7 linked regions of the Callithrix jacchus genome follow. The protein of the gene in region 5 interacts with the protein of the main gene of each other region in a biochemical or structural test. Links are inferred from orthologs where the notes say so. Each region holds a gene or a part of one and is shown on either strand. Other genes may lie near its edges.

Region 1 (4,393 bases), on a different chromosome or scaffold from region 5:
TTTTATTGTCTATCTACACAGTCCCAAATGTTTGTGTCCTTAGGCCACTAAAGTAAGGGAAGATGGAATGTGAGGACATACAGGACATCTTGAGACTCACCAATGGCCTGTGTTAACTTGGCACTGCCTGACTCCCTGTAGCATGTCCCCATTGTTTTTCTGTCCCCCTTAATCCTGAACACCCCATACCACCCACAGACTAGGAACTAATGCCAGTTTCCACTTCCCTAATAATCATTTTCTCTCCTTGTGGTCGCCCCATGTTCACCTCAGTGGTTCCTCCTACACTCTGCTCAAGGGACTATCTCCTTAGTTTTTAAATTTCAGCTTGTGTGGACTTCATTCTTAGCCTATAATACACCCCCACCTTCACTTCAATAAATCCACATCCCCAACATCCCCCTCCTCTCTCCGTCTCTCTCTCTTTGCCCACTTTTATTTACAATCTTCCACTTCCTAATCACATGTCCCTTGCAGCTCTGATCTGCTCCCTCTGTCACCTGGTCCTTCTTCTTCCTTAGTTTGTTCTCCCAAGATCCAGGTAATTCATCTCCTCAGCCAAGTCCTGTAAAAGCCGCCATCCAAATCTCCTATCTCCTCTTGACTTTTCCATGTACTCTGTTCAACAAGACTTCCAAGAATGCAGGGAGTAACCCAGAGAACTGGAGAGAATGATGATAGCCAGAATTCAGGGCATCTACCAGCTTCTATTACTGGAAGCACTTGGAAAGCATAAGAGAAATGGCTTTTTGAAGCCATTAACAGGATTCAGCTCTTGACCACCTGCTGCTTCTTGCTGATCCTGTCAGCCTAGCAGCCTAAACACACTGAATTTCACGAAGTGACAAGCATAGAAGTGGCAAACAGAAGTCTTCCCAATCATATACCCCTTCCCAATCATACTCAATTTCCTAGGCAAGAAGGGCATTTTGATTGTGACACAAACCCCAGAAAATACACCACTGAGGGCATCTCACATGCTAGCTCCCTTCCTTGGCCTGACTGCTAACATCTCATACGCTGAAATGTTTACCCTCAAGGAGTCTCTAAATCTCTGCTTACAAAACCATCCTGGGGTGATATTCACTGTGGAGTGTCAGGCCAACATCCTTTCAAGACTTGCACAGACCAGATAGCTTGAGAGTTTGCTCAGTTTCTTCCCCAGCTCCCCCAAAATGATCATTTCAATGAAGCCCCAGTGTAGCCCAAGTTCCTGTATACCTGAGTACTACACATACCTGCCCTCCCACCCAACTGACTCCCAGAAGGTCATGAATTAGAGAGTCTTCTAATTCACCATCATCTCTTCGGGAGATCTAGAACTGCCCTCTTTCTGCTCTACACCAAATAATTTCACATTTATTTTATTTATTTGGGATTTATTTATTTATTTATTTGGGATTATTAGTTTTTGTTTATCTAACTCCCTCCTCCACCAGACAAATAGCAAATTGCCTTCTTTTTATTGTCTATTAGTTACTTCACTATCTCTGATTTAGAAAGAAAGAGGGAGAGAAAGAAGAGAAAAGAAAAATCATTCCTCCAGCAAACCAGACTGGTTTTAAAATCTCTCTTCTTTCTCAAGGTACTCCTGTTAAGAGAGTCTATTCAAGTCAATTCCCAGGAGCCTTTATGAGAGTGATCTTTGCAGAGGAATTTGTCTTCTTCTTTAACACCATTAAACTAACAGGATTTTGCAGACTACCTATTCCCTAATTCCGGCGCACCCCCCCCAAACAACAGCCAAACATCCCGCCCCTCCTCCTCTCACCGCCCCCCACCCCCAACAACAAGGCTGTCCGTCTCTCAGTGCCAATTCCTGCAACTGTGTCAGGGTGGTACCTGAACCTTATCTGAGAGACAGAGACAGAGAGAGAAACTGAGACAGAGAGAGAGAGAGGGAATCAGAAAAGCCAACACCGTGAGAAATATACACTTCAACGCACGCCATTTATGCAGCCCCTATGTATGTTGCTCAAATGCTCGGAAAATGCACGCGAATCCAAACATTGGGAAAGGCAGCAATTCAGACCCGTTCACCAGCTGTTCCCAAAGGAAGGGAACCGGTGAGGATCGGAGGAGGCGAAACGATGCTAAATCTTAACCCTCTCGTTGGGAAACGACATCTTTAATCGCGCCCTCGCCTCCAGACCTCAGTTCCCGCTCCAGCACATTAGCCAGGGCGCACTCACCGCATCCCCAGGGTTGGGAAAATAACAACTGTTGGCCCCCCGGAGCGCCGCGCAGCATCCGCACCTCCCTTCTCCCACCTCCTGGTTTATTTTTAACCGCCTTCCATTCATGCCCTTCTGTCACATTCCCGATATTATTTATCCCTCAGAGGTCCACTGTTTCTTAACAGCCAAAAGAAGAGGGCGGAGGAAGGGTTTTTTTGAAAAGGTATCATACTTACCGTTCCCCGGCGGGGCGAAAAATAAAAATAAAGAAAATCCACCGGCTGGCTTGTTTTTCCCCCTCAAGCTGCAACAGCTGGAGGAGGGGAAGAATGATCTTGGAGTGTTAAAGGGAATCACTCGGGTTTGGCAGGTGGAGGCTCCAAATATCCACGGAACAAGTTCTGTTGCCTGGCCCGGCGGGGGGCACAGAGTCCTCGCGGCTGGAGCCTGGGGGTGGGGGTCGGGGCTGCCCCAGAGAAGACCCCAAGACTCCTGGTTCCTCTGGAGTTCAGTACAGGAGGGATTGCCTGGGAAAGGAAGTCAAGGTTCCCCCGAAAAGAAGCAAAATCCTAGACAGCAGTGATCACTTGTTAAGCCCGAATTGCTCCTCCAACATCCATCCCTCTCTCGCTCTCGCTGGCTGCGGGAGCAGCACACGCCTCCCCTGGCCGCGAACGCGCGCCGGGCGGGGGCGGGGCCAGGGCCGAGCCGAGGGTGTGGCGTTCGCGACGGTCGCCAGGGGCGCCTCCAGGAGCGGCGGGGAGGGCGCAGTCACGACGCCGCGACTCCCCGCACTCTGGCCGGGCCCCCAGACTCCCAGGATCCGGGATCGATTCCAGGAGTCTTTGGCTGCGGTCCCCAGAGGAGAGGAGCAAATCCTGGAGAAGTGTCCCTTTTGGGGCCGGAATGGGGGTTTCGACGGCAGCGCGGGAGTCCCCAGAGGGCCTGGGAGCGGGGAGCTCCCCGGGAGGTGCAGTCCTGAAAATGGGGTCCTTTGGGACATCTTCTCCACTCCCTAACTTGCTTTCTCCAGATCTCCCCTCGAGCCTCGTCCTCTTCTCCACACCCCACCCCCTCCCAAAGCGGGTTTGTCGGGTTGGGAGCCCGGGGCACCTCCGGCGAGGTTGCAGGCGGGGAGCCCTCCTGTGCCTGCCAGCGCGCCCAGATCCCCCAGTCTCCGCCTTCCCTGCACACAGGAGTTGAGTGGCTTCAGGGTCGGGGTTGGGCCTCCGGGGTGCGGAGGAGACCGACTTTCAACCTGTATTCCACCCCGGGTAGGGGAATGTTACGAAATTGGAATCAGGCCCAGGCTAGGGGCTGTGCAAGGGAAGCAGCAGTCCTACGGGAAGAGGGTTGGAGAGATGAATGAGTTCCAGGGTGGGCCCGGGGCTGGGGGCTTTGGAAAGCGGGGAAGAGCCCGCAGATAACCTGTTGCTGCAAAAAGAAATACGGCTCTGGTACCGACCGAGGGCTCTTTGGATCCCTCAGGATAGAAATCAAGGAGATCTTAGCAGAAAGCAAGTTTCTTTGGTTTTCTTTCTTTTAATTAAATCTTGCGCGCACAAGGGAGCTAACACCAAGAAAAAAAAGTGGGCTGCTCCTCGAAGTCAGGGTATGGGTTTCTTTTACGGGCCTCTCCCATAAGGGGACATAGGGGAACTATGGACAGAGCATATAGAGGTGGAGATTTTCTGGTGCACTTCTTCATAGAACCTATGTATCATTCGCATTTTAAATCTCCACCTCTGAGCGTGAATTTTTGCATTAAAATAAGGAAAAGGTCACTGAGTTGAAAGTTAAACCTAGCTGCAAGCCGGGACCTCGGGCAAGTCCTTGGTCCCCTAAAGCAGGAACGTCTGGTTAAAAACTTCTTGGGCCTTTCATGCGGACTGGCTGAAGTTTCTATCTGAGGAAGGGTTTCTCCTTGTTTCTTGCTTATTTCTTTGGACCACATTAAAACGGTAAAGTAGACAGCTCGCCTGTCTGAGGCCTGCCAGAATCAAGCAGGCTAGAGGTTTGGCTCCGGGAAGTCTCTGTCTTATGCTTATTATTATTATTTTGTCTTTTTGTTCTTTTCCTTTTTTGTGGAGAATGGGGTTTAAGCGTGCTCCACAGGGCCCAGCAGCCCGAGGATCTCTATCTTAGTGATCTTTCCCACTGCCCATTTCTATTAAAAAAAAAAAAAAAAAAAAAAGGTTCTACAGTTCATCCCCACC
Region 2 (4,166 bases), on a different chromosome or scaffold from region 5:
CACTTGGTCTACCTGAGGAGGTACATGTCCTCTTCTTTAAAATGTCAACAACTAAATCATATTTTAATAGTCCCACCTTCACTAAACTCAAAGAAAAACAAATTTAAAAGGCAATTCCTTATCCATAATTTTTGCTTCACTTTTTCTCTACTTAATTTTGATTCCTTTGGTATTGATAGACAAACTCCTGATATTCGTAAGTTGGCTGACAGTTCACTGCAATTCCCATACCTTGCCCACATAAACAAGGCCAGTCTCCTTTTGAAGATTCAGGGTTATCTGCTTATTTCTAAAACTTTACACTATAGTGATGACGGCCAAGGGTGACAAATTATGTAAAGCACCCTACCCTGTCTAGTGTCAAATTGATGGAATAGTCAAGGATTCAGTTAATGAAACTGAAACAAGCCATGAACAGCAAACCAACCTACTATTCTCTTTCTGTGCAACATTTTAACTGCCTGGTTTTCCTTACAGATCACCAAATAGGTGACAGGAATTCTTTTTTTTTTTCCTAATCCAGTTTATAAACCATTGAATAGACTACTTCGTCCAAATTATTGTTTCAGAGCCCTGATGTTTTCTTAGAACAAAACAATACTATAAGGACATTTCAAGAAGTCAAAGATTTGAGGACAAAACCTACAATGCAAGTTGATGCATTATCATGTAGACACAGATTTTAAGTGCTAAATAAATAAATAAGGGCCAAAAGAATATGATGCCAGATTCACTAAAGCCACAAATGAATTTATAACTACTATGTGCAGTTATCCTAGGATCAGTGGAAGAAAAAAGAAAAATAAGATATGGTCTGTTTTGACAGAACCTATAAGTTTATTGGGGGCAAAAGTGATTTATGTTATAAATTAAATATCCATGCAATAACAATTGCTGTTAATTATTGAGCACCTACTATGTAGACAATATGTAAAGCTTTATACATATTCACTGGATGGATCTTCTTTGAACTGGATGATGTGAGATTTATACTTATTTAATGGAAGAGAATCTGAGCCTCAGTGACATTAACCAATTCCCTCAGGGCCACGAAGGTAGCAAATGTCAAAGTCTGATTTAGCCCCAAAGTCTGTGTGACTCCAGAGCCTGTACCTATTTTATCATTCCACGTCCTGCAAAGAAAATGACAGCATTTGTTCACCCAGACTTGCCAGCAGTATTTTAATTGTTTCCCATGAATTACGTTACTCACCCTCACAACAGCCTTCTGAAATGGTATTAATGGCCCGATTTCATAGACAAGACAATAAGGCTTGACCAAGTCTCACAGCTAGTAGGTAGTGGAGCACATATTTACACTGAGGCAGTCTGACTCCAAACCTATATCACATGACAATAGACAATTTGGTTCCAAATAACAATGGAGATAATAAAAACCAACTGGCCTTGGTGGGGGAAATAACACTGCAGGCTGGTGTCATCAGAGAAGTCTTCATGAAGAATTATAAGACTACACTGGGTCTTTGTGAATGAGCAGGATTTGGGGAAGTGAAGAGGGAGACCAGGCTTTGTGTGTAGGGTCAAAACAACTTGACAGGCCAGGCGTGATGACACATGCCTGTAATCCCAGCACTTTGGGAGGTCGAGGGGGGCAGATCACTTGAGACCAGGAGTTCAGCCTGGCCAACATGGCGAAACCTGTCTCTAAGAAAAAAAACAACTTGACAGAAACTTAGCATGGGTGAGGATCTAATAAGTATGACCCAAGCAGTGGGAACCTCTTGGAGAGCAGTAGGCAACAAGGCTGGGAAGATGGAGAAAAAAGAGCTTTGAATGCCAAGCGAAAGAGTGTGAGGGTGACTACTCAGGCAGTAACTGAGTTAAAAGCGAAGATCGCTCTGGGTAGGTAAAGCCTGAACTAGCATATAGACTTTGACAATGAGAAGAGCTTGAAGCTCCACTTCAATCCCCAGAACCTCGCCGCAACCATGAGTCCAGTGAGCAGGCTGGTAGGTGCTTCACCAAGAGGCTGCTAGCAGAGAATGGTAACACCCTGCAGCCCCTCCAGCTGCCCCAGGCTGATCCTTGCCAGCCCTATTTGCATGGCAAACTACCAACAGGTTTCATGAGGCAGGGGTCCCCAGACCCAGGGCTACAGCCCGGTAATGGTCCATGGCCTGTTAGGATCCAGGCTACACAGCAGCAGGTGAGAGGCAGGTAAGCGAGCATTATCACCTGAGCTTGCCTCCTGTCAAATCAGTGGCTGCATTAGCTTTTCAAAGGAGCACAAACCCTACTGCACATGAGAGGGATCTAGGTTGCGCATTCCTTAGAAGAATCTAATGCCTGATGATCTGAGGTAAAACTGTTTTATCCTGAAGCTATCCCTCCCTCACCACCACCCCACTCTCCATGGAAAAATTGTCTTCCATGAAATCAGTCCCTTGTGCCCAAAAGGTTGGGGACCGCCACCTTAGGGCATCGCCAGCATCCTAGTGACCATCCCCCACCATCCTCTCCAAGCTGGCCGTGTCTGAGTATCCAGCCCACAGAATCCAGTCAGCTCTCAACATAGTTGATCTCAAAGATTACTTAAATAATTGCTTAGTAATTGAAATAAAGTGCCTTTCCAATAACCAAATGCCAGCAGAATGAGATACACTACTTGAGGAGCCTCTCAATTCTGAGCAATGAGAGATTTAAACTGAGCTGTTTATAACTGAACTACCCTTCTCCGTTTCCATTTAAACACTAGTCACCAGTCTTTATCCCCTGCCCCCAAGGCTCTTACATCCCGCTTGTTTTTTCATTATGCACCTCTCACCTCTACAATCAGGCAGTCCATCAGCACTAAAGAGCATTATAAGCAAAGCCACATTTCTCGGAGGTTCTTCAGAGGACACTATTGGCATTTAGGATAGGAAAATTACTCACCTTGCAGAGATGTCCTGGGCAAAGCAGTATGTACGTCATCCCTGGCTCCCATTTGTGGAACACCAGTATTGCCCTCCCCCCATCACCATGACAACAAAAACACTCCCATGCACGTCCAGACACCGCTTGAGAGTGGCAGCACCACCCCCAGTGGAGAACAACTCAGAACCTCTAAGCAGCTTGGACAGTCAGAGCTCAAAATTATCTTAGCCTACCTGAAAGAGATCATCTTAAAAAAAAAAACATAATAAATTCTTCGATTCTAAAGATAATAAAATTTCTTAAGCAATCTCACTCCCTCCCACCCATCAATAAGAGCACCTAAGATTGGGCAATTTCACCCTGCAGCTGCAGCAACTTGAAATTAACTCCCCTGGGGAGTGTGATAAAGAATCTAAGTTCCAGGAAGGCCTGTTTCATCCTGGAATGCTCCATTCCATTGCACGTCCACAGATCTACCCCTTCAAGGGGAGGGGATCACACTTGAAAAACACAAGCATCTGAAATCCTCAAGTAGTTCATCATTAATGTAAAGGATTGTGGCTAAGAAGAACAGTCATAAACACATCTGCTTTATAGTGCAAACTTTTCCCATCCATCTTCATTATCAAAGCAAAAAAATAATTTCTTCCGATGTCCTCCCCACCTCACCACATACACTCACAAAAAATAAAAATATAAATTGACAATCACTTAGGCCCCCAAACATTCAAAAGAATCTCCAAGTTTTTACCAAGAATGCTGAGCAAGGAAAACTTCCTATCAGCCAGCATCAAAGCACTGAAACTGCATTTGTATCAGTCTTCTCTGTGCTCCGCCTGAATAGCTCACGCAGTGCTTTCTCTATCAGCTAAGTCAATGAGGTTCCTGGAGAGGGACTATCTCTACATATGGAAGGAAACTAAACCCAAGACCTTCTTCTCTGTCCCCATCCCGACTAGGGACTAACTGGTTATTTACATCTTTCATGCCAAAAGAGCTACACTTATAGGATGCTGAGAAAGAACACTATCCAAACAGAAGAAAAATGAAGATGGCCTGCCTGCCCAGGTGAATAAAGACCCAATGAATCAAACTACTTAAAAGAATAGCATGCCCTTCAGCACCTGGTGATTTAACACACCCTGTGCAAAACCTATAAATCATCCCATTGAACAGTGGATTTCCAGTCCCAATCTCCCAGAGAATTCCTATACGGCTTTTTGATTAACAATATAAATTACTGGAAGATGGTTGCATAGAATCAGACATTAAGAAAGAAAATGGACATT
Region 3 (4,375 bases), on a different chromosome or scaffold from region 5:
GCTGTGGTGCAATTGCCAGTTCGGATATTGACCTGTCTATAATGGGCTATGCTATTATTCATATCCTCTTCGATCTCCATGTACTCAGACTTGCTCATAGTAGAGGAACTGCGGCGACTGAGGTCACTGTCAGAGGCTAAGTTAGGGGAACTGACGTGGAGCAACTGAGCCTGCTCTTCCCCCTCAGTTTCTCGGTGGTAGAAATAGTTGAAATTGGACACAATGACAGGTACGGGCAGGGCAATTGTCAGCACACCAGCGATGGCACACAAGGAGCCCACGATCTTGCCTCCAATTGTCACAGGGTACATGTCACCGTATCCTACAGTGGTCATGGACACCACCGCCCACCAGAAAGCATCGGGGATACTGGAGAAGTGCGACTCAGCTTCTTCCGCCTCGGCAAAGTACACTGCACTAGAAAACAGGATGACCCCGATGAAGAGAAAAAAGATGAGCAGCCCTAGCTCTCTCATACTAGCTTTGAGGGTCTGGCCCAAGATCTGGAGGCCCTTAGAGTGGCGGGAGAGCTTGAAGATTCTAAAAACCCTTACCAAGCGGATGACCCTGAGGATGGCCAGCGACGTGGCCTGCTCGCCCTTCTGGTTTCCTTCCTGCTCAGCTATCTCGGTGCCTAGGGTGATGAAATAAGGAATGATGGCCACAATGTCGATGAAGTTCATGATGTTTTTGAAGAAGTCCGTCTTGCTGGGGCAGGCAAAGAAGCGCACCACCAGCTCGAAGGAGAACCAGATGATGCACAGGGTTTCCACAATGAAGAACGGGTCCGTGAAGATGTTGGAATTGTAGATGACCGTGGTGTTGTCGATGCGGTGGACGGTGCCCGTGAAGTCCTTGTCATCCTTCAGCTCGGGGAGCGTCTCCAGACAAAAGATGACGATGGAGATGAGGATGACCATGACAGAGACGATGGCGATGACCCTGGCGGGCCCCGAGCTCTCTGGGTACTCGAAGAGCAGCCACACCTGGCGCTGGTACTCCTTCTCGGGCAGAGGGCGCTCCTCCTCCTTGATGAAGCCCTCGTCCTCCCGGAACTTCTCCATGGCCTCCTCGCCCAACTCGTAAAACTTGATCTCCTCGGAGAACATGTCCAGGGGCACGTTGACCGGTCTCCGCAGGCGGCCCCCCGACTGGTAGTAGTAGAGGATGGCGTCGAAGCTGGGCCGGTTGCGGTCGAAGAAGTACTCGTTCCTCAGGGGGTCGAAGTAGCGCATGCGTTTCTTAGGGTTGCCCAGCAGCGTGTTGGGGAACTGCGTCAGGGTCTTGAGCTGCGTCTCGAAGCGCAGCCCGGAGATGTTGATAACCACGCGCTCGCAGCACTCATGGTCGTCGTGGTCCGCCTGCCGGGGGTAGCTGCCATCCTGGGGGTGGCCCGGGGCGGCCGAAGCCTCGTCCACGTTCTCCCCAGACATCACCGTCATGGTGGAAGTCGGGCGCGGGGGGTGGGAGGCCAGGAGAGAGCCCGGGGTGGGAAAGAGCCAGGAGCCGGAGGTGGGGGGGACCCAAGCGGCCCCCCCACCGGAGTGCGAGTCTCCCTCACGCCCAGGGGGAGGGGATTCAAAGCGAGCAGTTCGGGAGATATGCGACTTCGCCTCGCGCTGCTTTCCCCTCCACCCTGCTTTTCACTCAATTTGGAATCCCCCTTGCCTGCTGGCCGGTGCAGCTTTTTGCCGAGGGTTGGATTTGGGTTGGGGTTGGCTTTTTTCTTTTCTTTCTTTTTTAAGATAATTTTTACTGATCCGAGGAGCCTTAACGCAGTGCTGTTCTAGCGGACCGGGCCATCGCTTCGGGGGTCGCCCTGGCCTCCCCTCCCCTCCGAGAGCCTTCCTAGGACCCGGTGCAGTGCCGGCTCAGCAGATCCCCACGCCTGCCACCCTCTCTGCTTCTCCTCGGCTCTCCCCCCTCCTACCCCTCTTCGCCTGCCGCCTTCTAAGCTCCCACCAGGGCGATCGATGGACGCTGCAGAGAAATAGAAAGTGATACGGGGGTAGAAAATCAGAAGCATTCCGATGGGACGGACCTACAGACACCGAAGAACACAGACCTCTAGCTTGAGAAAGCACTGGACGTTTGCTAGGGTTATCACACACACACGGACAGACAGACACGCAGACACCCGGAAATCCAAGTTTGGGGCTCTTCCATCCCACATTCCCCAATGCCCAACAGCCGATCTGTTTACAACTTCGTTAAACTAGAGATCGGAAAAGCGCCCAGAGACACCGGGGGAAGCTCCGGGTCCCGGGCAGCATCCCCACACCCCCGGCCTCCCCAACCCCGCGCCCCAACCCCCGCTTCTGCGGCCCGGAGCTGGGGAACCCCCTACCTGGCCAGCAGGCTTGGCGCAGGGGCGGTGCTGCGTCCGCGGAGAGCCGGCTTGGGAATGCGGCAGGTCGCCTTTGCAGTGCCCTGGCGGGAGCCCCGGCGGTCACCACAGCCAGCATCCGAGACGCGCCGGGCAAACTAGCCTCCCTGGTCCGCTCGTCCGACGCCCCTCTCAGTTGGACAATCGCGTTACGGAGCAGCAACGGCGAAAATGTTCATTTCCTACCCCCATTCTCACTGGTTGCCAGCAACCTGGAGACGCCGTCCTCTCTCCAGTGCAGGGAGTTCCGGAGGATGCAGGGCGGAAAAGCAAAATACCACCCTCTCCCGAAGCTCCGAGGCAAATGACGATAAACAGCACTCTCGCCCCCTCCTAACACTATGCGAGCCCTTGATTCGATCCCGAAGGAGGCGGGCGGGTAGGAGCCTGGATCTACATGGCTCTCCAGTTCCCTTCGCTCTCTGCACCCCTGCGAGGACCTCGCCGAGGCTACGCGGCGCGCGGGGAGCCCTTAGGAGCTTGGAGTCGGGCAGAGTGCCTGCGGCGGCGGGTCCGCTCTGTCCATTTCTGGGCGCTGCAAGATCAGCAGAAACCTGAGAAAGCGCCTGGAATACGGAGCAGCGATTGGCCCACCCGGGCGTGGGTTGGGGAGGGCGGGGGAGGGCAGGAGCGAGGAGGTGGATGGAAAATATGAGGGGGTGGTTTGCAAGAGAGCGGGGTTGTCATTCAGTTCCCACCCTCGCCAGCACAGCTTCTTCCTCTCCTACCAGAAAAGTCGACCACTAACTCTACTTCCCCTGTGACCCACCGCCCTGCCCCGCCCACGCACTGCCGCTAGCGGCGCGCGACCTTCCCCGGGAATTTCACATTGGAAATGGTCAGGTCCGACGCAATGCAGGAGGTGGTGTTTCTGGCAAAACTCCTCCGATGGGTTTGCTTTTGTGCAGTCCCACAGTAACCCTCTTCGATCGCACTGCTCTGCGCCCCATCCCGCTCTTTCCTCAAGGAGGCCCTTGCTCTCTGCGGGGTCCACCCAGCCTCCCCCCGCCGGCTGGACTCGCAGAGCTGCAGACTTTGGGCAGAGCCCAGCAGTTGAGGATCCACGGGTTCTTTCCATGTAGTTTTACTGGGCGGCGGCGGTGCTAAGAGCCTGTCCCTCTTTAACCTACGATGGGACTTGAAGTTTTCTTACGAACCGATTATTCTGAAATACAGAGAATGTGACTTGTGGGGGACCAAAGGCCTCGTGGGTTTGTGGGGTTGTCTGCCAACTTGGTGCTAATTGGGAATAATCTGAGAAGCAAGTCGCCTACTCACCTCCCACCCTCTGTCCCTCCTCCCGCAGCCTCTTTCCCCAGCCTAGTGCCTCCACTGGGCCACTTTCAAAGCTTGCAATTTATTCGGAAAGGGTCCCCCGCAGAGGCGCATGGCAGCAGGAGCCGGGGGCGTGCGCCGTGCCCTATGAGTGCGGCTGGAGCTGCGCCCCCAGAGGCGCTGCGTCTCCGCGCTTGCAGCGAGAGAAAAGGCAGCAGGCAGCTTGGTACTTCCAGGGCTGCGGAGTCTCTAAGAAGGCTGCAAGAGCCCAGAGTCGCAGCTGATTGGCTTCTCCCGCGGCCTTGAGACCACCCTTCTCACCACCGCGATTCGCGTGGCCTCCCGCCTACACCACCCACCTCCTTAATCAAAGCCAATGATTGCATCCTCCCCGCTCTGTTGTGGCTAGGGGAAAGCCGGGGCCTCTGCGGGATTGCCCGGGCAGTGCAACAGTCCCTGTCTGGAACTAGTTAAATCCTTCCTCCAGATTCAGACGCCAGCATTCCTTTCAGAAAAACAAAAGTGTATGTTCCCTCCCCTCCTTCAGATCCATACCCCAGCTTTTCTTTCATGAACAATCACTTCTCCTATACTCCTCCTTCCCATATTAAACTCGGCCCCTTTTCCACCTTCCACAGGCATATCCCTCAATCTCAACAGCTCCAAGGATCCCTACCTTTCTGCACTGCTGCTCTAGTGCAAATAAATAATCTT
Region 4 (4,395 bases), on a different chromosome or scaffold from region 5:
CACAGTAGTTAGTTGCACCAGAGTATAAATACTTGGTAAAACACACAAGAGGAAATAGAATTTACACACAAGTGCTAACTTTCACCAGCAAATTCACGTGGGCACTTGGACATAAAAAAAATAAAAAATCCTTAAGATAATTATATTTATAATATGGATACAGTTACAGTACCATGATAAAGGAGTATAAAAAGGTATTTTCCCAATAAATCATTAGCTCTATAACATACTAGACAACAGAAGTAGAGCTTGAATTTTATTTTAGTTTTTAAGATCTGCCCACCACTTCCCCAGTTAAAAAATATTTAACTTCTTTTTGTGCAAGTAATGTTTTCTGTGGAATTTGTAATTCCTAACACTGTGCAAAAATGGCATTTTGAACCACTCCTTTTTTTGTTTTTGTTTTTATCCACATGTGCAGTAATCAAAACTGTCTCTCTCTCTCTTTTCATGTCCTGTCTTAAATTGACAAGAGTCACATGTCACAGAGAGAGGCTCTGCGCCTGGTCCTTCCAACTAGTATTGATACATAAATAAGCTGTTTAATATAAACAAGTCTTTCTATCTGCTGTGCAAATGCACAGTGTGAGGTAGAAATCCCGTAGCCTGACCATCCAGGCGCGCGGGGGATCAGAGGGTTTGCCCTACACAAGGAAAGCAAATTGGGGCTTGTTCCAAGAAGAGCTTAACATTTCTTGAAACGTGATTTTTTTTTTTTTTTTGCATCCATCCTTTTCGCTTTCATAACAGCGGAAACCATTACTTAGGAATTAAAATGAAATTTCTCTGGAAAGCAAAAGGAAATAAATATGCCTTGATAAACTGTCATTCTCCTCTCTCTGGCTGGTAGACTGCCCCTGTTCCTGGGACAGGGTCGGGAGCCAGGTTGATCGGATTTTAATCCCCTCCTAATGCTTCTTCTCCCTTCCCCTGCCCACCCAGCTTCCACTCCCATCCTCGTGGAGTCAAAAACCACCTGGGGGGAAAAATCTAAAGATGCATCACAGGCACACACAAAAGAAGGCCGGACCACAAACAGAAGAAGAAGGAAAACAACCCAAGGAACATCAGCAAGCCACTCTCCCACCCCTCCCCAAACTTTCCTTTTTGTGCAACGGTCCGTGGCTTTTCTGTTTGCCTTGGATGATTCAGACGAGGTTTGTGGGCTTCGAGTTCACCTGCTTTCGGTCTTGAGTAAACACAGATCTCCGAGATCCCCCGGGAAGCCGTTCCGGGGCGCCGGGCCCCTACACCTTGGATTCCGAGGCGAAGCCGGGGCGGCACGGCTCGTCCAGGCTCGAGTCGCTGTCCGCCGCCGCCCCGCCGTTGCAGCCGGCCCAGGGCTCCAGCAGGCGCGCGGGCGGCGTGGCCCCGACGACATCGTCGTCGTCGTCGTCCGACGCGGCCCCGGGCGACGGCGGAGGACCGGGCCGGGCCAGGCAGCCCGAGGCGCGCGGCCGGTCCCCGTGGGCCGCGTGGCGCCGGCTGGCGGCCCTGCGCGCGCAGCGGAGCAGGCGCTGGAAGGCCTTGCGGAAGTCCGGGCTGCGGCAGTATATGATGGGGTTGAAGGCCGAGTTGGCGTAGCCCAGCCAGTTGAAGAAGACGAAGAGGCGATCAGGCACCAGCTCGCGGTGGAAGGCCTTCACCACGTTGGCCAGGAAGAAGGGCAGCCAGCAGAGCGTGAACACTCCCATGATGATGCCCAGCGTCTTGAGCGCCTTCTGCTCGCGCAGGGCCACGAGGCGCGAGGGCCGCCGCTTGCCCGCGCGCCCGTTGGCCAGGGGGGCGGCGGCGGCGGCGGCGTTGGGGCGCGGGGGTCCTGGCGCTGACGGCGGCGCGGGCGCGGGGGCGGGTGAGGGCGGCCGCTCCGGGCCGCCGAGGAACCGGCGCTCGCAGCTGTCGATCTTCTTCACCTGCTTCTGGGCCTCGCGGAACACCCGCAGGTACACGAAGGCCATGATGCATAGGGGCACGTAGAAGGAGACCACGGACGAGGCGATGGCGTAGGCCCGGTTGGTGACGAAGTCGCAGCACTTGGGGTCGTTGTAGCAGCGGCGCGCCTCGTCGCTCTCCGCCCGCCACCAGTGCATGAGGATGGGCAAGAAGGACACCAGCGCCGAGATGGCCCACACGGTGCACACGAGGCCCCTTGCCCGCGCGCGCGTCAGCAGGCTCTGGTAGCGGAAGGGCGACGTGATGGCGAGGTAGCGGTCCAGGGCGATGACACACAGGGTCTCGATGCTGGCCGTCACGCACAGCACGTCTACCGAGGTCCACAGCTCGCAGAAGAAGGAGCCGTACTCCCAGCCGCCCCACACCACGATGGTGGCCCCGAACGGCACCACCAGCAGCCCCATGACCAGGTCGGCGCTGGCCAAGGACATGATGAAGAGGTTGGTGAGCGTCTGCAGCCGCGGCGTCTTGGCGATGGCCACAATCACCAGCACGTTGCCCGCCACGATGAGCAGCACGATAAGCGCCATCAGCAGGCCCATACCCGCCGTCCACTGCTGCGACAGCGGCTCGAGGCCTTCGCTGGCGGGAGGCAGCAGCGAGGCGGGCGGCGACGCGGGCACCAGCAACCGCGCCGCAGTGGCCGCGCCGTCGGGGAGCGGCGCAGCCGACGACAGGTTGGCGGGATCGGAGGCGCCCAGGACGAGCGCCCCCGCGCCCATGCCGAGCTGCGGAGGCCGGGGGCGGTGGGTGTGGCGGGGCTGGGCAGTGGCTAGGGAACACCCCAGGAGCCCGGGCGGCGGGGTGCGCCGAGGGAGGTCGCGGCCGGGTCAGGACAGCCACGGCGCGGGGCCGGAGGCATGGGCGCCGGGCGCCTTTCCCGCCGGATCCGAGCGCTGTCGCTGTCGCCGCCGCCGCCGCCGCCGCTGCCGCTGCTGGAAGAGCCGCCGGGACCTCAGCATGTTTCTGAGCGCGCCGGGCCCGCAGCTCCGGCACCCAGCACCCACCCCACCCCGCTCCCACCTCCCCAAGCCAACCCCCGGGGCCTCGCGTCAGGTTCCTGTAGCCAATCGGGGCAAAGGCACGCCCCCGTCGGGTCTGCCCCCCCCAACTCCCCGCACCCCACTCCAGTTGGCAATTGAGCCGCTCCTGAGAGTCCGGAGCTGATCGCGGAGCTAGTGCCTCCCGTGCGGCCCGCGGGTTCCTGCGGACGCGCCCCTTCCTGCGCCCGCTGGTTCCAGGTCCCTGTTCCGCGCACCCCCTCCCGCGCCCGGCTCCCCCGAGGGGCCCCGCCCCCTCCCGCGGCCCCCAAGTGCTCCCGCAGCCGCTGCTGCGCCCCGTTTGCCTCCCGCGCCAGGCTCCCTCCTGCGCCCCTGCTTCCCCAGCATCCCCTCGACCTGCAGTCCTGGGGGTTCCCTGCGGCAGAGAGCGCTCGCTCCTTGGAGCGAGGAGGGGACCTTGGTGTTCTGGAAGCGCCAGAGCGCCTGGGACTGCTTGCCCGCCGGGCATGAAGGAGTTTGCCCTGCGAGCTTGGTTGTGGCATGGGGCAGCCTAGCAGGGTGTGTGTAAAACCCTTCCCCCGTCAAGAGGCGACCCAGCCAGCCTGTGTCGTGACAGCTTGGGGGATCAGAGGTGGGTGTTAGTGGTTAGAGGAAACTTCCCAGCAGAGCGGGTTGCTGGAGCCAAGGGCGCATCTGTTCAGAATGCTCTCTGGGCGCTGTTCTTGCAGGGATCTTCTGTTGAACCTCAAGTGCAGTGGAAGTGGAAAGGATGCGAAGGTTTGTGCATCTAACAGCTAACGCTGAGGACCCGCTGGCATCGTATTCACTCCTCAGTCCCAGCTAATGAATGTGTGAGCAAGATGCAACGGTGTGTGCTCATGATAAAGGGAGAGGCTTAGGGAGACAGAAACGTTGAGATACAGAGCAAACGGTACGACTGCGAGGGGAAAAAAAACATGCTTAATTACATTTTAGACTTGTCAGTGATAACACCTGTATTTTGTGTTTTATTACTCTTGTGATTTTGTAATTTGAGCTAGGTCAGTACCAACACAAAGGTACTGTCAGTTTCGGCTGACGTCATGAACTACCATTTCAGATTCCTTGGTCTGCTGCTTGTTTTCTCCTTTTCCCAAGTTCCCAGATTCTCAAAACTCTGGGATTAGTTTTGGAGGGATGAGACAAGAACACATATAAATACTCCAGAGGATTAAAATCCGAAAGCATTTAAAGTTGTATCTGTGTTTTTTTGAGTTGGCAAATGAATCGCTTTGAAATGAGTGAGTTGTTAACCTGGCGAAATGGATTATATTGGGGTGGGGGCACAGCCATGAATATTCAGTGCGGCAGGACTGCAAGCCCCTTCTCTCATTTGGCCCCTGTAGTGTCCTCAGTTCAGGCTCGAAAAACAAAATATCTTTAATTGGGTCCTTGAGAAGTA
Region 5 (2,860 bases):
CCATCTCTACTAAAAATACAAAAATTAGCCAGGCGTGGTGGCGTGCACCTGTAGTCCCAGCTGCTCGGGAGGCTGAGGCAGGAGAATCGCTTGGACCCGGGAGGCGGAGGTTGCAGTGAGCCGAGATCATGCCACTGCACTCCAGCCTAGGCAACAGGACAAGACTCCATCTCAAAAAAAAAGAGAGAGGGCATAAAGAAACCCAATGTATATTCACACAGCATTTCTTATCGGCAAACCTCTGTAAAGATCATTCCCAGAGCCTCGCTCTGTCCACAACTCCATGAACATGAATGAAGAAAGTTTCCTCTCTATTTTCCTTTAGGGACTGTTGTGCTACCCAACAGGACTGAGACAGCCCAGGGGGGATCAGAGCTGGACGAAGTTTGCAGGGTCCCTTACGAGTTCCAGCCTCCTCTTTCTGACCTGTCATGACTTTGGACAGAGCTCCAGCCCTTCACAGGCCATCCTCACCAACTCTAGTTCCTTGATATGCCAGTTACCTCCATGGCCCGTTTTTCAGGCCACTCTAACTGCTCTGGTTTGGAGGGAAGAAGGATCTGACTCTACCTGACCCATCCATCCCTGTGCCCATCTCCCTCCACACCCAGGTCCCAAATAACCAGGCCACACACCGAGTTTCAAGTATCTGTCTCTTCCTTTCACTCTCTCAAAAGAAAAAATAAATAAATTGCAGAAGGCGGCAGCATTTCCAGTCTTCTCTGGCTCCCGGACACCCGACCCCTGACCCCTGCCCCCCACCCCCCCTCCCACATTTCCCACTCCCTAGACCCATCCCTCCCTTTTCCCCAAAACAAAAATCCCAGGAAAAAAAAAAGCCACATTTAAACCTTCCACTCATGCAAACCGGCAAAGAAAAAAGGTGGGGGACGTGTGGAAGGCAGGGGGCCCGCCTCAGAGTCCCCTGCTTCTCCCCCCAAAAACCACCTTTAAGAAGAAAAAAAGTGGAAAAAATAAATGAGAAATCAAGGGACATGGGAATTACGATGAGGGCAGGGGTGACCTCAGACCCTGCCTCGGGAGAGAGCGGAGGCCTGTGGCCCTGCATCCCTGCTGCGGGTGCTCCTCGAGAGGGCCCTGACTTCTGGAATGTGTGTGGGAGAAGATGGGGGAGGGCAGGTGGCCCCCGGTGGGTCTGTGTGTGCATTGGGGGCGGGTGGGGGGTGGGAGTCCTAAGGAGCAAAGGCTCGGAACCAGGAGCCCAGCTCCCCCCCAGACCCCAGGTTCCTGGTGTTTAAGAGCCCAGTTCTGGGGTGCAGGGATACATGCAGAGGAGTGTCCCCCCTCCAATAGGCTGGATCCAGTTAGAAAGGAAATAAATAAGAAGGGGTGGGAGGGAGGCCGGGGGGAGCCAAGGGCTTGGGCGATTCAGTCCAGACCAAGGGCCCAGGAGATGGAGGCAGGGCGAGTCCAGGCCAAGCCAGGGCAGGAATCAGAGTCTCTCTCGGGCTGGAACCCAGATGTAGGGGCCTGAGAGGTCCTCGATGACACGCTTCACCTTGTGGTAGATCTCCTCAAAGCTGTCACCCTCCACGATGGCTGGGAGTAGGGTGGAGCAGGGAGTGAGGCCAAGGGTCAGAAGATGCCTGGCCAAGGAAGTAGCAGCCCAGAGGAAGGGGCACCTCTTTCTAATTCTCCAAGCCATGAGTCATAGGGCTGCACCCGCCAACTGGGGCACCTCTTTTTTTTTTTTTTTTGAGATGGTGTTTCACTCTTGTCGCCCAGGCTAAAGTGCAGTGGCGCAATCTCAGCTTACTGCAACCTCCACCTCCCAGGTTCAAGTTATCCTGCCTTGGCCTCCTGAATAGCTGGGATTATAGGCACCCACAACCACACCCAGCTACTTTTTGTATTTGTTGGCCAGGCTGGTCTTGAACTCCTAACCTTACGTTATACACCCACCTTGGCCTCCCGAAGTGCTGGGATTACAGGCGTGAGCCACCGCATCTGCCCACAGGGGCGCACCTCTTTTTTTCTAAACCATCCACTGGGATTGAGGGGGGAGTGCTTTCTAATCCGAGCAAAGGTGCCCTACGTAGCCTCACCTGAGAAGCACTCTGTGAACTCCTGCTCCAGCTTGGTGGCTCTGTCGAAGGCTTTACGGGCTTGCTCCTCTGTGATCCGCTTATTAATCTCTCTGTGAAGCGGGAGGGAGCGCAGGCCTGAGACTGGGCCCACCTGACCCTGACTTTCACCTCCTCTATCCAGGAATGTTAAGTTGCAACTAGTATTCTCCTATTTGGAGCACACAGCAAAAAAAAAAAAAAAAAAAAAAAAATACAATTCCCAATATCCTCTGGGACCACAGATGAGCCCCCACCCACAACCACCCCAGCCAGGTGTGGCTACTCCAGGGCCATCTCCCAAGCTTCATCCTTCCAGCCTTCAGCCCCAGAGATGGGATTCCGACTCCAACTCCCAACAGCCCTGAAGGCCCTGGCTTGCCCCAGCTGGTGTGCCCCAGGGGCTGCTGGGAGATGTAGTCCTGTCTAGCCCCAGGCAGGAAAGGAAGGGAAAGGCACGATTGCCCGAATCCTCTGGGTTCCAGGTCTCCTGGATTCCAGGTGCTCATGGATCCCTGGGTTCCAGGGATCCCCACCTCAGGGGCTGCTGGGACCGCTGTCCAGGGTTCTGAAGGGAGAGTTTCACCGCAGAGGCCTTGTGAGGCCCAGGGCCACAAATGTGGGGGAGCAGAGGGGAGGCCCCCAGGACCATACTCACAGCACATTCTCCAGGGAGCGGGGGCGGATGAAGATGGCGATGGGGTGCAGGTGGGCCGCCTGCAGCCGCCGCACGGCATTGGCCGAGACATCGAGGATGCAGTGCTTCCCCTGGGGGC
Region 6 (4,378 bases), on a different chromosome or scaffold from region 5:
AAATAGTCTTAGTTTAAATTAGCATTACAGAGGCATTGCCATTACTTTTTAGAAATTTGTAAATTCTAATTCTTAGTTAAAAAAAAATCACTCCAAGGTTATATCAACAATTCTCCCCAAACTAATCACAAACTCATCATTATATTTAGCAAAATCATTTCATTAAATAAGAATCTGTTGTACTGAATAACTATCACATTGCACAAATGTTGCTTTAGGTACTGACAAAAGCCTACAGATGCTCGGGGTCACTGGACTCCTGTTATAAAGACTTATATTCAACAATTTGCCACACCAAATAATTCATAAAATTACATTGCCTGGGAAATATTGGCAGGTAAGAACAGCAAAAAGAAACCCAACCTATCCTGAGGATTGTTTTCTAGGTTATCAATAAAGAAAAAGTGGCAGAAAGATATATCAAATAGGAAAATACACAAGAAGAGCAAGATGACTTTCTCAATGTGTTCCTAATGACTAAATTAGTTCAAAATAAGTAACATAATAAGTAATTTATATATCTTAAATAAGGTCTCATAAAAGAAAAACATCATTCTCCATTAATGCAAGTGCCACAAGAATATTTGAAGAACTGCCCGGTACCAGTACTCAGTCCCCTCAGGGTCCCACTCCTTCTTCGGTCCCTCCCACCATCAACTGCAGTAGTAACCTCAAAAGAGAGACTCAACAGTAATCAAACAAGATCAATGTTCAGATTCATTCTGGAAACTCTGAATGTAAAAGTCCTAGGGGCGAGTAGGTAAAAGTGCTGTCAGGAAGAGTTAAAGCTCTTGTATCCAAGGTCAGGGTGAGGATAAAAGATGAGACTGAGGAAGATTGACACTGAGTCCTTTTCAAATTCTGTCTGCAGTAGAATGCATTCCTTCAAAACAGAGCTCACCCAGACAGGGAAAAACTGGACCAGAGGTCTGGCATTCCAGCAAGAGGTAAAAGCCAAGGGTAGCTGAAATGCCTGGGTGGGAATGAGGCAGGAGTACTCTCGAAGGATGCCTACGACCAGGGGGAGTTTGGTGCACACCTGAACCTGCTAATACAGACATCCCGAGATGAGCACAAGTTGGAGAGGTCTAGGAAGGCATTTATTCTCTCCGTAAATATTCAGGAAGAGCCTAGTATAAAGAATCCATCAAAAAATGAGAGAGAAAGCACTAGGGAATCCATTGAAGAGATGGTAAAGGATGAGGTACAGGTGCAAGAAGTATAGCGCAGTTTAAATAGCTCATGCAGGTGTGGCTTCGTACCTAGGAGACGGGTTGGTAGGTGTAGCAAACCACCACGGCACACATTTTGTGCCTATGTAACAAACCTGCACATCCTGCACATGGATCCTGGGACTTAAAATTAAATTAAAGTTTAAAAAAAGAGGAGAAGAAAACCAGACACCAGTTTTATCCAGAAAAGAATAAATGCTTAGCGGATAAGTAAAAAAGAAAAAAGAAAAAAAAATAGCTATGGGGTTGGGAGAACTCGAGAATTGAGATTCCTTCATCAGAAGGCAACTCAGAAAAGTATCTGGCAAAACGTGTCTGAAGATCTGAGGAAAAGGATGTAACACAGAATGCAGATAGCCTGTGGGATTCCGAGATGTCAAGGAAGGTCACGCTGAGACCAAGAGAGTGTGGGAAATAAGGAGAGGAAGGGTTTCCTGGAAGGGGTTGGGGCTCCTTTGGGATGCTCGAGAACAGGATGAAAGACAGGGGATCCGAACTGTAGAACACAGTGCCTGGGAAAGTTTGGGGGACAGAAAACAGGTGGGTGTGAAGCAGCACTGGGGCTGTCCAGGGGGAACAGTGGGAAAGCGGGGTTCAAGGCTGGAGGTGGGCAGACGGGCCCCCGAATCAGGAGACCCCAAAGGAGTGGAATCTTACTTCTCACCGCTCTAGTCTCCACTTCCACCCTAGCCTAGGAGAGCTGCTGCAGCCCAGAGCCGCTGGAACCCGGGGCCGGGCGGGGTGGGGGGAGGCCGGGCCGCCCCCAAGCGGTCGGGCTCTGCACTCGCGCCCGGCTCACCCGGCGCCAACTTTACGGATCCGTGTCCTCTCCCAAGAAGGCAGTCCCCCCTTCCGGCCCCTGCTCACCGAGGGCGCTGTCAGGCGGCTGATGCTCTCGCCCAGCGAGTCCAGGTTAACCCGCCTCCGGCGCTGCACCCTCCTGGCCCCGGCCGTGGCGGCGGCGGCGGCGGCAGAAGCGGCCGGGGCTGGGGCGGCGGCGGCGGCGGCGGCCGCGCTGGGCTCGGGCGGCCCGGGCGGGCTCCGGCTGCCGTTCCAGCAGAGCCTGGACAGGGGGCACTCCCCCTCCTCCTCCGGGCTCGTCTCCAGGTAGTCGGACCCCAAGGAGCTGAAGGATTCGGACGAAATCTTCCTCCGAGACATGCTGCGGGCGGCGCTGCAACGGCCGAGGCGGCGGCGGGGACACGGGCGGCGGCGGTGGCGGGACCCGCCGGGGGCAGCGTTACGCGCGTCGGAGCCCCGGGGCGCTGTGGTCGCGCTCGGCGGGGAGGGAGCCCCCGGGGCCGCGGAGCCCCCCAAGCCAGCTGCTCATGGCGGGAACTTGGGGTGCTCCCGCACCTTGGGGCCCGGGCTCGGCGGCAGCGCCGCGCTGGGCTGGGGGCCGCCGCCGCCTCTGCTGCTGCTCAAGCGGCGCCGCTCAGCGCCCGCCTCGGCGCATCGCCGTGCACCGCGCTCCCGCTCCCGGGGAGGCTCCAAGTGTGTGACCGCGGCCGGCGGGGCGGGGAGGGCTGCGGCCCAGGCAGACGGGGAGGCAGAGGCTGGTGCCGCCTGCGCGCCTCGCTCGCCCCCTTTCCCTCACTGCTCCCGCCCCTCTCCTCCCGCCTCTCTCCACTTGCCCGCCTCCCTCCTTCTCCCTTTATCTCCCGCCCCCCCATGCTCTCCCTCCGCCACTATCACGTGTCGCCATCATACTCATTGGGAGTCTCTGCCTCGCCTGTCGCCACGTTTCAGGAGCAACGAGGACACTTGGTCGCTGTCCTCTGCGCGCCCTCCCTGCTCCGAGGAGGTGCGCACAGCAGCTTGGTTCGGACGGAGGGACCGCAATCCCCAGACGCCTTATCCTGGGCCCTGAGGAATACACCGGCTCTGGCGGCGCTGGTGGAGAGAAGGGTTCGGGGATGGGGGGGACAGGCCTCCCCCTAGGGCCACCTCGGGGAAGCCTGACAGTGTGAAGTGCAGGTTAGGGTTCATGCTGTCCTTTCTCCGAGTTTATTTAGGAAGTTACAAGGCGAAAGGGAAAGGCCAAGCGTGCAGCCAGCCCATTCCAGAGGAGACGCTTACACGGGAAGGGAAGGACGGGGGCAACATGTTGGCGCCCATGCTGCTGGAGCAGCTCCTGGAGACTTGCGTTCACCGCCTCTTGCGAGGCCGCGTGGGCGCAGAGCGAGCCCAGAACGGGGCGGCAGCGAGGACAGCGTCTGCTCTGGCGAGAGCGCCGTGGCTGAGCCTCAGCCTGGTGCTGTGCGCGGGGCTCGCGGCTGCGCCGGCCCCTCACTAGTGCTGGACAGCTCCGCTTGCCCCCTCCAGCCGTTTGCAGGCGTGGAGAAGTGGAGAACAGTTCCTCCTCAAACCGTCTAGCACCTGGCCCGGGGAAACCGGGGAACGATCCCACATCCATCATCCTCAGGGCTCTTTGCACCGAATATGCGATCTGTTTGCACTTGACTGCAAACGCTGCTCAGAAAGCTAAGAGGAGTCGGGATAAAGGCTTCGCGCAGCCGGAGAACTGACTCGCCACAGCGCAGGCATCTCGTCGCGCGCTTTCAGCTGTGCGGCTTCATTCCAAAGCTTCTCTTTGCAAACCAGTCCTTCCAGCGCCTGACCCCACTGTACCTTGCCTTAGTCCCAGAAAAGCCTCATACTGGTTCTGAGGATAGAATAAAGGATGGGAAGAAGGGGCAAATGACAGCATCCCCAAAGAGGGGTCCCAGGCTGTACTTCCCCCTGCAATAAAGTAGATTAAAGTAGATAAGCACCCTCCCCAGCTCCCCCCATCAGCGTAGAGAAAAGTTCAGGGTCTCTGGCTTTAGCTCCCCAGTGAATCTGAAGCCAAAGCATTTTTTCCAAAGAACGGGTCCTTTCATGTGAAGACAGATGGGTTTGTGTGGACTGTGTGTGTTTAAAAATCAAAACAAAACCATAAAACCTGTGCTGTAACCCCACCCAAATTTGCTTTTAACTCTAAATATTCCCACGTGTTTGTGAGGGTTTAGATATAAACGCTATTTGAGGTTTCATTTGGAAAAATCCACTCAGACTGGTTCACAGACATACCTTTTTTCCAGATCTTAAATGGGCTTTAAAGACAGAAAAGCATGTACTATCACTCAGACACTCCCCCTTTGAAT
Region 7 (4,344 bases), on a different chromosome or scaffold from region 5:
CAGCCTGGAAAGCAGTTCACCCACCATTGTCTATGAGGCACCAAGGGGTGCATTGGAAAGATGTCGCCGAGCGAATCATGAGCTTCCCAAGTTTCCTCTGACCCCAGTCAATGCGTTTGCTCTGATTTCAAAACCAGAAACAGCCAGTGACAGACTGTTTTTAAATTTCAGAACTGTATCAGCTGCAGAAAAACTAACACTTGCCTCAACAAAGTAACCTTTTATTTCCTGGGATACAAATAAAGAGAATAAATTATCAGAAGTATTCCTCCAATATCATTAAAATGCTTTTTGAAGAAAGTTACAAGAGTTGTTTAAGGCGCACAGAAAAAGTCAGATTTGCCTTTCCTCCAGAACATTCTCTGCCCTAGACACAAAGCACCAATACCACATCCCAGAAAAATCAGAGGCTTGGACACACAAGAACCAGAACAGCTCATACCAAGATCTCTGGCTCAAATATAAGTATCACAGAGAAACATCAGGTCAACTCTCTCTTCCGTAAATACAACATGTATCTTGAAAGCATATCCAAAATATCTCTATCTGAACTACAGTACAAAAAGCCACTTACCAGCCATAAAAATAATATTTTCCCCTATACTCAAATATAATCATATGTAAAGCAAACTTGGAACACATGGATGGAGGGGTTACATAATCTCTTGGGATCTGGGCTATTTAGAGTCATTTTTGTTTGGGTTATCCCTCTGCTGGGTATAGGCTACAAATACATCCATCTCACAGCACTCGCCATTTCAACAGCTCCTGCGTCATGGAACGTGGTACTTTTTAAAAATAGGCGACCCTTGGGTGTCATGGAAAGAAGAGGGAAAATGGGGGGATGGAGGGAGGGAGGAAGGGAGGAAGGAGAGAAGTGAAAGGAGAGGGTAGACTGAGGTTACAGTGTGGCTTCCAATACTCTGCGGTGTAATGTAGATACCCATGTTCAGCAAGCCTCCCATTCCCTACCCCACTGCCACCAGTCTGCCTGAATCTCCATTTACAAATCTGTTTCCCGGCTGGCATCCAGGCAGAGGGCATACAGGGACCTCCGCAAGTCCACGTTGCTCTTGGCCTTGACGTTACACTTCTCCAGGGGACAGCTGCCCCTTTGGGCGTTGTCTGCATTCTCCAGGGTCACCCCAGCCTTGCAGAAGGATCCCCTGCTCCCGCTGACCTTCCGCTGGACTCCTCTGTCCAGCCCCGGCCCCTGGCTCTGAATGCCCTGCTCTTCCTTAAGGACTGCCGGCTCCTCGTGGTCCGTCTCCCGGTGGTAGAAGTAGTTGAAGTTAGAGACGATGACGGGCACAGGTAGGGCGATGGTGAGGACCCCGGCGATGGCACACAGCGAGCCCACGATCTTGCCCCCCACAGTGATGGGCCTCATGTCCCCGTAGCCCACAGTGGTCATGGTGACCACTGCCCACCAGAAGGCATCAGGGATGCTGGAGAAGTGGGTCCCCTGGTTGTCAGCCTCCGCGAAGTAGACGGCACTGGAGAATAGGATGACCCCGATGAAGAGGAAGAAGATGAGCAGCCCCAGCTCCCTCATGGAGGCCTGCAAGGTCTTGCCCAAGATCTGCAGCCCCTTGGAGTGGCGGGAGAGCTTGAAGATGCGGAACACCCGGACCAGGCGGATGACTCTGAGGATGGCCAGGGACATGGCCTGCTGCCCATTCTGGCCGCCTCCTCCGCCCCCCGGCTGCTGCTCTGCCAGCTCGGTGCCCAGGGTGATGAAGTAGGGGAAGATGGCCACCACGTCGATGATGTTCATGATGTTCCGGGAGAACCCTGCCTTACTAGGGCAAGCGAAGAAGCGCACGAGCAGCTCGAAGGTGAACCAGATGACGCACGTGGTCTCCACGATGAAGAACGGGTCGGCCAGGGTCCTGGGCAGGAGTGGTGCCACTGTGGGGCCAGAGGGCTGACCCACAACCCCACTGCCGTTGGCCCCAGAGGCGGGCGCGGGAGGCTGGTGGGGCGCCGGTGGGTGGCGGAGCAGCTCGCGTTCATCCCTGAACTCGGGCAGGGTCTCCAAGCAGAAGGTGATGATGGAGATGAGGATGACCAAGACCGAGACGATGGCGATGGCCCGCGCGGACCCAGAGCTCTCCGGATACTCGAAGATAAGCCACACCTGGCGCTGGAACTCGTTGCGAGGCAGGGGCTTCTCCTCTTCTTTAATGAAGCCCTCATCCTCGCGGAAGCGCTCCATGGCCTCGTCCCCCAGCTGGTAGAAGCGGATCTCGTCCGCGAACACGTCCAGTGAGACGTTGACCGGCCTCCGCAGGCGGCCCCCCGACTGGTAGTAGTACAGGATGCCATCGAAGCTGGGCCGGTTGCGGTCGAAGAAGTACTCGTTCCTCAGGGGGTCGAAGTAGCGCAGGCGCTTGGCGGGGTCCCCCAGGAGGGTGTTGGGGAACTGCGCCAGGGTGCCCAGCTGCGTCTCGAAGCGCAGCCCGGAGATGTTGATGTGGACGCGCTGGTGGTGCAGAGCCGCAGCGCCCGGAGTCTGTTCCTCCTCCGCGCCCAGGCCGGGGTCGCCTTCTTCCTCTTCGTCCTCCGGAGGCGGCCGCCGAGGCTGTGGCGGCTCCTCGGGCAGCCGAGGCAACGGCCGCGCTCCCGGATCAGCGCCTCTCTGCGCGCCGCGTCCCCTTGGCGCCGGCTCCTTGGGCCCATCGCTGAGCCCAGCCGTCGGGGGACACTGGAGCTCTCCCCCTGTGGCCTGGCCGAAGCCTGCCCGGGCCTCATCGCCTCCTCTGACCGTCATGGCCCCGCCGTTCTCCAGGGGCACCAGGGCGATCTCCATGGCGCGGGGGCAGGGGGCATGCTGCGCCCCAGCTGACCGGCTCCCGCGCCCCCTACTCACGCTCCGCTGGCGCCTCGCTTCGGGCTCCGCTCTCGCGGTTGGCCGGCCCCCTCTCTGGGGCGAGCTGGGGTTGCTGGCGCGATCCCCTCGCTTGGTCCTGACGTCAAGAAGCCGCTGCCCTGCTCTCTGCCTCTCTCTCTCTTCTGGCAGCCGGTTACCAAGCAGCCGAAAAGCCTCCTTCCAGCAGATGCAACCTTCAGCCGCCCCTCTTTGGCTGCGCCGCGCTTGGCCTCCACCCTGGGCGCCTCCCCCGCCTCCTCCCCCGCCTCCCCCTCCTCCCGCTTCCCCTCCCCCCCGCCTCCCCCCCCCCCCCCCGCCCGCTTCCCCAGCCTGGTCTCGTGGCACCGAGTGTCTCCCGGGAGGGCGCAGCTGGGGCCCCTAGCAAGGGAAAGGAGGGGCCGAGAAGGGTGCAGCCCCGCGGAGGGAGGGAAGGAGTGGGGAGGATGGAGGAACAGGTTGTACCGAGAGCGCCGAAATTCCCAGGGCAACCAGATGAGAATAGCTCTGGATTTCAGTTTCACCTGGGAACCCGCTGGAAGCCGAGTGGACTCCAGAAGGAACGAAGTGCCTTGGGTTAAAAGGACAGGCTTTGAGCTGAGTCGGAGTACGAGAGACAGAGACGGGAGACAACAGTCCTTTTTACTCTGGAGAGATAACGGTGTTTCTTTGGGAAGAATTGCAGACGGGAGGGGGCGTGGAGTAGTTACGGACCTTGAAATACATATTATCAATGGAGAAGCACCTCTCTTCCCGTCTTCCTACAGATCCACAAAAAGGTATGACGGGGTTGGAACCTTGCAGCGTCCCCATACCCTGCCCTGTTTCTAGTATGGACCCAGTGGCAGCCCAGGCAGGCAGCCTAGTCAAGAGATGAGCTGTCTGGTCTCAAACCAGCAGAACCCTTCCACCCCCTGCAACGAATTCCATTTGCAAAAGCCACAACAGGGCAGGAGGGGAGAGATTTTTACAATTCTGGTGAGGGCCGATCCTGTCTGGTGAACCTTGGAGCTAGCAACTGCATCAAGGTCCATGAAGGGGGCTGAGGGTGGAGGTGGTGTATGAGAGGGAGCCAGGGAGATACTGCAATCTCCAAGGCTGGAGAATTCCCAAGAGTGGAATAATAACAACCAGTACTTACTTGGCTCTTATTATGCACCAGCCCGTTCTCAGCACTTTAAAATAATGTCTCTGGGTATTCCTACAGCAACCTATTTTGTAAATACTATCATCATCACCATTTTATAAACGAAGAAACTGAGGCACAAAGAAATTGACAGACTCACCCAGGCTCATGCGGGTAGAAAGTGATGACGCTGGAACTCAAATTCAGAGTTTGGCCCTCATCCCCTATACTTCATCCCTCTTCAGAAATGCATAATGCCCTTTTCTGATACAAGCCCTCCTCACTCTGACATCTGGCCTGAGAACTTTAGTTCCCTGCTGCAAGAGGCAGAGGGTGGCTGATATAACAT

Evidence for each region.
Region 1: the proteins of DLG4 (region 5) and KCNA4 form a complex in vitro, tested with the Homo sapiens proteins (8 studies listed by BioGRID and IntAct, with this or other methods). The link is inferred for Callithrix jacchus from reciprocal best matches to the Homo sapiens genes DLG4 and KCNA4.
Region 2: the proteins of DLG4 (region 5) and LRP2 form a complex in vitro, tested with the Homo sapiens proteins (2 studies listed by BioGRID and IntAct, with this or other methods). The link is inferred for Callithrix jacchus from reciprocal best matches to the Homo sapiens genes DLG4 and LRP2.
Region 3: the proteins of DLG4 (region 5) and KCNA1 form a complex in vitro, tested with the Homo sapiens proteins (3 studies listed by BioGRID and IntAct, with this or other methods). The link is inferred for Callithrix jacchus from reciprocal best matches to the Homo sapiens genes DLG4 and KCNA1.
Region 4: the proteins of DLG4 (region 5) and ADRB1 form a complex in vitro, tested with the Homo sapiens proteins (2 studies listed by BioGRID and IntAct, with this or other methods). The link is inferred for Callithrix jacchus from reciprocal best matches to the Homo sapiens genes DLG4 and ADRB1.
Region 6: the proteins of DLG4 (region 5) and GUCY1A2 interact in a test that uses a peptide from one of them, tested with the Homo sapiens proteins (2 studies listed by IntAct, with this or other methods). The link is inferred for Callithrix jacchus from reciprocal best matches to the Homo sapiens genes DLG4 and GUCY1A2.
Region 7: the proteins of DLG4 (region 5) and KCNA5 form a complex in vitro, tested with the Homo sapiens proteins (2 studies listed by BioGRID and IntAct, with this or other methods). The link is inferred for Callithrix jacchus from reciprocal best matches to the Homo sapiens genes DLG4 and KCNA5.

The regions. Positions count from the first base shown.
Region 1 is NC_133511.1:95,334,543-95,338,935, forward strand, and holds the start of KCNA4 (potassium voltage-gated channel subfamily A member 4), read right to left. Parts: upstream 2,822-4,393; 5' UTR 2,414-2,821; intron 2,291-2,413; exon of another isoform or gene 2,193-2,290; intron 1-2,192. UniProt on the Homo sapiens protein: Voltage-gated potassium channel that mediates transmembrane potassium transport in excitable membranes. Forms tetrameric potassium-selective channels through which potassium ions pass in accordance with their electrochemical gradient.
Region 2 is NC_133507.1:60,177,009-60,181,174, reverse strand, and holds the start of LRP2 (low-density lipoprotein receptor-related protein 2), read right to left. Parts: upstream 2,896-4,166; 5' UTR 2,874-2,895; coding exon 2,786-2,873; intron 1-2,785. UniProt on the Homo sapiens protein: Multiligand endocytic receptor. Acts together with CUBN to mediate endocytosis of high-density lipoproteins. Mediates receptor-mediated uptake of polybasic drugs such as aprotinin, aminoglycosides and polymyxin B.
Region 3 is NC_133510.1:18,518,656-18,523,030, reverse strand, and holds the start of KCNA1 (potassium voltage-gated channel subfamily A member 1), read right to left. Parts: upstream 2,917-4,375; 5' UTR 2,348-2,916; intron 1,981-2,347; 5' UTR 1,443-1,980; coding exon 1-1,442. UniProt on the Homo sapiens protein: Voltage-gated potassium channel that mediates transmembrane potassium transport in excitable membranes, primarily in the brain and the central nervous system, but also in the kidney.
Region 4 is NC_133513.1:106,982,720-106,987,114, reverse strand, and holds the start of ADRB1 (beta-1 adrenergic receptor), read right to left. Parts: upstream 2,945-4,395; 5' UTR 2,676-2,944; coding exon 1,248-2,675; 3' UTR 1-1,247. UniProt on the Homo sapiens protein: Beta-adrenergic receptors mediate the catecholamine-induced activation of adenylate cyclase through the action of G proteins. This receptor binds epinephrine and norepinephrine with approximately equal affinity.
Region 5 is NC_133506.1:73,680,510-73,683,369, forward strand, and holds the end of DLG4 (disks large homolog 4), read right to left. Parts: intron 2,853-2,860; coding exon 2,743-2,852; intron 2,159-2,742; coding exon 2,067-2,158; intron 1,561-2,066; coding exon 1,454-1,560; 3' UTR 640-1,453; downstream 1-639. UniProt on the Homo sapiens protein: Postsynaptic scaffolding protein that plays a critical role in synaptogenesis and synaptic plasticity by providing a platform for the postsynaptic clustering of crucial synaptic proteins.
Region 6 is NC_133511.1:6,897,774-6,902,151, forward strand, and holds the start of GUCY1A2 (guanylate cyclase soluble subunit alpha-2), read right to left. Parts: upstream 2,861-4,378; 5' UTR 2,394-2,860; coding exon 2,100-2,393; intron 1-2,099. UniProt on the Homo sapiens protein: Has guanylyl cyclase on binding to the beta-1 subunit. Isoform 2 acts as a negative regulator of guanylyl cyclase activity as it forms non-functional heterodimers with the beta subunits.
Region 7 is NC_133510.1:18,649,543-18,653,886, reverse strand, and holds KCNA5 (potassium voltage-gated channel subfamily A member 5), read right to left. Parts: upstream 2,929-4,344; 5' UTR 2,813-2,928; coding exon 1,004-2,812; 3' UTR 201-1,003; downstream 1-200. UniProt on the Homo sapiens protein: Voltage-gated potassium channel that mediates transmembrane potassium transport in excitable membranes. Forms tetrameric potassium-selective channels through which potassium ions pass in accordance with their electrochemical gradient.